Linked DNA regions of Caenorhabditis elegans. The protein of the gene in region 2 purifies or fractionates together with the protein of the main gene of each other region. This does not show direct contact. Each region holds a gene or a part of one and is shown on either strand. Other genes may lie near its edges.

Evidence for each region.
Region 1: the proteins of tmc-2 (region 2) and Y106G6E.4 fractionate together in Caenorhabditis elegans (co-fractionation; one large-scale study listed by BioGRID). This does not show direct contact.

Annotation. Positions count from the first base shown.
Region 1 is NC_003279.8:10,221,041-10,224,710, reverse strand, and holds Y106G6E.4 (putative 5-formyltetrahydrofolate cyclo-ligase), read left to right. Parts: upstream 1-1,932; coding exon 1,933-2,172; intron 2,173-2,492; coding exon 2,493-2,625; intron 2,626-2,673; coding exon 2,674-2,921; 3' UTR 2,922-3,069; downstream 3,070-3,670. Other genes in the region: ced-12 (Cell death abnormality protein 12), read left to right, coding at 26-559, 606-956, 1,002-1,228, 1,280-1,517, 1,597-1,738. UniProt on the Caenorhabditis elegans protein: Contributes to tetrahydrofolate metabolism. Helps regulate carbon flow through the folate-dependent one-carbon metabolic network that supplies carbon for the biosynthesis of purines, thymidine and amino acids.
Region 2 is NC_003284.9:9,302,030-9,305,785, forward strand, and holds the start of tmc-2 (Transmembrane channel-like protein 2), read left to right. Parts: upstream 1-1,694; 5' UTR 1,695-1,752; coding exon 1,753-1,893; intron 1,894-2,195; coding exon 2,196-2,278; intron 2,279-2,337; coding exon 2,338-2,478; intron 2,479-2,528; coding exon 2,529-2,793; intron 2,794-3,077; coding exon 3,078-3,200; intron 3,201-3,252; coding exon 3,253-3,398; intron 3,399-3,464; coding exon 3,465-3,562; intron 3,563-3,610; coding exon 3,611-3,756. UniProt on the Caenorhabditis elegans protein: Probable ion channel.

The DNA of each region.
Region 1 (3,670 bases), on a different chromosome or scaffold from region 2:
TTTCTATTTATTGTATAATTTACAGTGACGATACAACTCGTGATTGGATTCTCGAAGAAGTTCCAATAGAGACTCTCATTCGACACGTTGAAAAATCAGATGAACGAATTGCTCTTTGTGCACTTTCACTAATGAATTCAATGATAAGAAGATGTCCTGATGATGAAAAACGATTTGAACTTATTAAATCTTTAGAAGTCGTTCCATTCCGTAATGCTGTACACAGTTCTCTTCTACGTGGTGGTGGTGGTGTTCGAAATCTGAATGCTATTGAACAACTTGTTGAGGTTCAAAGGAGTCTGATTAGTGCATATGAAACTTCACCTCCTACTGATGCTGAAGTTCAGAAAATTCTTGATATTGAATCCAGTGAGGATGTTTCCGAGGAGATCAGAGAAATGTGGAAATCACAAATTGGGGAACACCGATGTGGACGGTTGGCTGCAATTTCGATGGTTCAATTTGCAGAAAAAAGTCCGCAAGATCTGAGAATGCTAATTTCGGAGAATACAATGAGGATTGAAGGAGGAAAATGGCAACTGATTCCAATGTGGATGAGGTTTTTTTGCAAACGTAAAGATGTTCTGATGATTTTTTAAATTCAGGTGCTGTGACATTGCCGCAGAATTGTTCAGAGTAATACCTGGTCGTGATGAGTTGGATCGTTTGATTGTAGTTCTCTTTTCCACGGAGACTCCATTTCCAGCTGTATTCGCATGTATTGTACACCTTTTCCATCGAACATGGCGTGAGATGCAGGCAAAAGGAGGTGAAATGGAGAAAGTTGCGTGTGTTGTACTGGAACAGTTACGGCATGTGCTGAAAAGACGGGAAATACAAGATGTAGAAGAACTATCTGCGGATTTGGAGACTTTTTCGTATAGGGCAATGCAAGAAATTTGGAGAGAGGAACAATTGGGAAAGGAAAATATTCAATTACATAGTGAAGCTGTGATGTAAGTCTGAAAATTCCAATAACTTATTCGTATACATATTTTCAGACAACTAAAATCGAAATTGCGGCCAAAAATGGAGGAATTGGTTCGAATAAATCATCTAAACTATTTGAAGTTAGGCGCCGTTTTTCGAAAACCACAGAAAAGTAAATCCCTCGCAAAGCTCGCCTTCTGGCATTGGAAGCTCGATGCATCGGAGAAAATGCTCACTATAACTGGATGTGATGGTGAGAACTATGTGGAAGGTGTGCAGAGAGATGATATTCGGCAAGGTTGGGGGAATATTGAATTAGTTCTCAAATAATAAATTAATTTATTTTCAGTTTGGATCAAAGATATTGCTGATGTAACAAATAATGATGAGATTGATAGAAAAGCAAGCTCATCTCGATTCACTTCTTCTCCATCTACACAAATGTTAAGAGGGATTCGTGTACAATTAAAAACAACAAATGATATGAAAGAAGGCGAAGTTTTAATGGCATTGACATCCGATGAAACTCAATCTGTTATATGGCTTGAAGGTCTTGCTGAATTGATTGGGAGCAAGGCAGTTAAAAGGTATCTAGACATTGGTTACTGTAGTTACAGTAACCTGAAGAATAGGAAGCCCCGAAAATACCAATTGAAATATTTTCAGTGAAACCGATGCAATGGTTGAACGAATGCTGAAAATGGAGCTACGAGTTCGCCTTCTCAATGTGAAACTCACGAACCCCGAGGAGAAACCAGAAATTCCACCGATCCCTGACGATATCAAAAGCTTTATTTCAAAGTTTTAATCATATTCAAGCTTTATCATTCTTACGTGCATTTTACCATATTGAAAGGCAAAACATTTCCATGTGCATAATAAATTTTGTAATTTATGCCTATTACTGTGTATTTAACTTAATTTGAATAACGAGCCATTAACTACAGGCCACTAACAGTTTTCTGAATCTCTTGAAAACAAATTTTTGACCAACATTTTCAGATGAGTGCTATAAAAGAGGTAAAATCAGAGCTCAGGCAGTTTATGAAGACATTGCTCGGAAAAATTTCGAAAGAAGAAACTCAACGTCAAACAGAGGCGGTTTTTGAAAAAATAATTGAATCGAAATGGTTTCAAGAGAGCAAGAGATTGTCAGTTTATGTTAGTACATCGGGAGAAATACAAACTGATTCGATTATTCAAAAAGCGTTGGAAATGGGAAAAGAAGTTTTCATTCCACAGGTAAAATTTATTTTGAAACAGATGCGCAATAGATGTTAAGATGTAGGCATGTAGGTAGGCACATAGGCAGGCAGAAATAAAGCAGGTAGGCCGACAAGAAGTAGGCAGATATGAGCTATGAATAAAGGCAGGCAGGCACGTAGCCAGGCAGAACTAAGGCACTTGCGAGGTAGGCGTAAAGTAGGCCCCTAGACATGAAGGCTGTAATCGTTTGTAGTAGGCAGGCAATTAGTACCTAGGCAGATATTATATATGAATCCAGGGAGACAGGCACGTACAGCAAGTATAATTTATTGAAGTCACAAATGTAAAAATTTCAGTTCACGAAGGGCTCAACTGCAATGGATATGGTTCGAGTTCCGGATCAAACTGCTTTTGACAATCTTCCTTCAACACTTTGGGGAATCAGACAGCCAGAACCGAAATGGAAATGGCAAAGCTATCATGAAACAGGTGTGACTGCTTTTTAATAATATAACTCCAATTTATAAGTACTTACAGGACCACTGGATTTGATCCTTGCACCCGGCGTTGCCTTCTCACCATATGGACTTCGTTGTGGTCATGGAAAAGGATATTACGATCGCTTCTTCTCCACTCATCACAAACATTTTCCAGAAAACTCCCCAAAAAAGATAGGATTGGCTCTTCGTGAGCAAATTATTGGTACAATTCCTATTTCTGAAACTGATGTTGAACTTGATGAGGTTATCTATGAAGGAGAAACTATTATTTTTGATACTATTTAAGGCTTCACACTCTAAATAATATTCCCGATTGTGATATTGAGATTTTTTTTTAAATTTCTCTCGCCAATTTATAAGTGATTTTTCAGACATTCCTCAAATGGTTTTGTGATACAATTTCTTGCATTTGTTAACTGAATAAACTTTTTTGAACTACAGTTATATATAATTTTTTCATAGATTATTCAGTCATTAGTTAGAAGCATTCTAGCCTTCCGAGGTGTTTCAATTTTAGGTCCCACCACGAAAACTTGTGGAGATGTTCTGAAATGCCCCATAGAACTGCATAGCATTGTCCCAAAAGCCTGTAAATATATCTGAAAACTTGCTCACACAAAACGAAAGGATTCAAAGGCCTGAAGACATTAATTAGCAAAAATTAGATACATTCAATGGTTTCACTAATATCACACAGTTCAGATAGACCGAGATGAGGACTGATGTAGTTAAATCGATATATGATAGAAGCCCTGTAATTTACATGAAGAGCAACTACACGAAACTGAACAAAAATATTCATTTAAAGTCAATACATAGTAATCATTGTTCACTCTCAAACTTGTTGAACACGAGGTCAATTTTGGTCTCCCGATCCGCACTGCAAATATTATTATTTCAAAAAGGTTATCATGATCAACATACCTTTGCTTTTTCTCCCTTGCTTGACGAGTGGTCACTCTGACTTCGAATCCCTGGAAAGCTTGAAAGGTGGAACATTATCATATATCATATACTCTACATACCTCTGCTCT
Region 2 (3,756 bases):
GAGATATTGCTTTGAGAGGAGAAAACGAAGGTTGACAAGAAGAGTTGAGCCTGAAGATAAAGAAGAACACCACATTTTTGTTTGATTGTCACATCCGACCGGACTACTACTTTTTTGCGTAATTTTTAGATTGTATGATTTTCTCTAATTTCACCTCTATCGAATTGCACCTGACCTTTCCGACACTTGAGAGATATGTTGTTCTTATTTTCTCTTTGAAAGTCCAAAAAGTTCGAGAGATCGCATTTCACACCATGTCCCTCAAGAAATGTTTCTATTATTCTTATCCCAAAAATTTGAAACATGAAGGAGTTTTTTATATTTTAAAACATATTTTGTATATTGTTTTTAGTTAGATTAAAAAAACATATGTTGTTGCTGCAACAGTTAGAAGTTTAAGTATTTATTCTCTGTTTCATCTTTAAAACAGATACAAATTGTTACAATTTTTACGGGTCCTTCTATGTGTATTAAATAATTGTTTCCAAAAACAAACAACATTGAGGGAAATTAAGATGTAAAAAAATAAAATAGTGGAATTGTCAAATACCATATTAAGACACCTTGCCATGTTGACACTTGATATTAAGAAATATTCAACAAATTCTCCTTTTTAAGTACTATATAATTCATTATGTGTGTACTAATTAAGTCAGGAAATTTAGAAAATACTTTTATACTTGTAAAATTATGAAAAACATGAAAATATGGTGTAAACCGTTTTTTTTAAATTCAAACCTCTTCACTTTTTACGTCTTCATTTCTCGACATTTAAAATCTCTGTTTTAACTCAAAAATTCACTTAGGATTCGAACTAATTGTTAAAAAAGAAAACATTAAAAACTAAATGGAACAACGAAGATCTTTATGACACTGATACTCAAATTTTACATCCCCTCTTAAGTTTACGACCCCTCTCCTCCTTTCCACTGCTCATTTCCTCCGCAAATGTTTTCCTAGCGATGTTCGTTTTTTTTTTTCAATTCAGACGTGCTCAATTGCGAACTTCTTACTCGCGAATTAGATCGGCAATCTGATGAGTATGTTTTGCTCTGTAGATTGGCCTCGAAAAAGAAACCGCATCAACAAGAGATTGAGACAGACGGTGGCTTGTGTTATTTGCCATCGACATCAAAATCAAACGTGAGGTGGTTGCAAACTCATCTCCAATTTGCTCTTTTCTCATCAATTGTTATCAATATCCTTCCCAGACCCGTCGTCTTTTTTCTCCTTGGCCGACGACGAGTCAAAGGCAAAAAATGTGTCTTTGCTCTGTGTTTCTTGCGTGTCTTCTGTCACAGACTACTCTTCTGTGTGCTTCTTTTCGGTCTCCAACCCGCAAAAATTTCATTCATTACATCGCTTGTTGCATTTCGAGCACCTCCCGCTGGCCGCGCTCACTATCACTTGTTTCATATCACAATTTTTACATAATGTGGCTCACACCAGACACATGGCCCGCGTCATCCACCACCATCAGATAACCGCTCTTTTCCATCTTGTTAAGTTTCTCAGACGCGCAAAAAATGACTTCACTCCGTCAATTGTCTCCGTGTTCTCTCTTAAACGTTTGCTTTTTTCTAATCATATCGCAATCGCCATTACTCACAAACCACTTCCGATCCGCAATCTTCCCGTTGTCTTTCTATGAGAGATTTAGTGCTAAAAATAAATAATATTATTGATCATCTAAGAAGCTGTCAACTGGACGCATCGAGCAGTGGACGCCGGCGTGCAGTCATCTAAAGCACGATGCCGAAATCAGGCGCTCATCAGCCTCTGGTTCGACATGACACTGATGATGGTGGGGAAACAGGACAGTCCGTTAAGTCTCTAGCGGATGTTTCTGAAGAGGAAATTGATAGTCGAATGAGTAGAAGATCGTCAGTTATTGTACGTTTTCAAACTCGCTTTGTAAATTCTTGACAATTATGCAGTATTTTATAAATAAAAATTATTTAAAAAATGAATTACAATTTCGTAAAAACTAGAAGTGAAATAAACGTTTAGTTTTCATTTGTTAAGACAAAAACGTATGCTCTTGAAATTCACAGAAACAATCAAGGTGTATAAAAACTATCAATTCAAAAATTATATAGTATTGCTCTGAAGTTGTGAAAGAGTAAAAATGTTTCCAAGTCCAGATTATAACAGCTAACACTTGTTTCATATATTTAAATTAATTTGATTTTCAGGCTGATCTGCTTTCTCTTTTTCGCCGTTCCTCCAGTGTTCTTGTTCGACCACATACACGATTAGGAAATCCCAATTTTGACGAGTGAGTTTTCCAAAAAATTTATTCACTTTCCAGCATTTTGTTCAATTTTCACATTACAGTGACGATGACGAATTCGACGAAGAAGACGACAAAGAAGCTTCGAAAGATAGGATACTCAAGAAAATTCAACAAAAGAAAGAAATTATACAAAAATTACGTGGCCAGCCGTGGTATATGAAAAGAAAACGGCGGACGTTGAAGTAAGACCGCTATGAACATTTGAGCGAAACGTCAAAATCGGAAATTTCAGAGTAGCACAAAAACATCTACAACAGCAAGAAGCAAAAGTCTCGAAAGCAAGATTATACAAAGCAGAGGCTGGTCGAAGATTGACACAAGCCAGTCGATGGTTGGATAATCTCAAAATTTATTTGATACCCTGGGAAGCAAAGATTCGAAAAATTGAAAGCCACTTTGGATCAGTTGTGTCGTCATATTTTACATTTCATCGATGGGTTCTCGGAGTTAACATCACAATCACATTTATTATGTGTATGTTCGTAGTTATACCTGAGGTGAGCTTCTACAAGCTTATAAAAACTTCAACGCTTCAAAAATAGGGCCTCCAATTTTGAACTAAAGAAAAGTTTGATGTACAATAAATGCGGGAATTGTTCGCCCGGAAAAATTTGACGTCAGCACGCTTTTAATCATGCTAAATCAGTAAAGGAATTCGCGTCTAGAAGCGTCTAAATTCCAGCAGTTTTTGATGATCAAGCCAAAATAGAACATTCTGACGTGCACGAGATTTTTTAATGATGATATGTCTTGGTTTTACACCTCAGATTATAATTTTCAGTGGCTCGCCGACTCTCGAACTCAATTCGGTGATGACAGATACAATAAGACAAAGGCCATCAAAGTAATGCCACCAGCTGTTCGTGCTCGTGCCGACGAGCTATCCACAGTCTGGGACTTTGGGGTGAGTTGTAATGATAACAGATAAAACCAATGTTCAATGGTTTTTTTTTCAGGGCTACTTTCAATACTCTTTATTATTTTACGGTTTTTACTCGAAAGAAACGTTTTTCGGAGAAACAATCAAATATCGTGTTCCAGTGGCTTATTTTTTCTGCAACATTTTTATTCTAGGATTTTCACTTTTCATCATCTTGAGGAAGTGAGTTTGAAAAAAAAAAGAAAATCAGATAGAACAGAAAAAAAAACAAACTCGTCCTAATTAAAGAATGGCGGCTAACAATCGTCGTGGGACCTTATCATCAGGAAAAACGCAACAGTATTTATTCAATTGGAAAGCTTTCACAGGCTGGGATTATACTATAGGTGAGCGTTCAGTTTTTTCGAGATTAATTTTATATTCTGAAAATTTAGGTAATCCTGAAACTGCTGGAAATGTCTATATGGCAAACGTTATAAAATTTCGTGAAGCAATAAACGATGATAAACAAAAGCCAAGTGACAAACATCCCTGGATTCGGTTTGTAGCACGTGTTCTTACAAATCTTTTCATTTGCGCA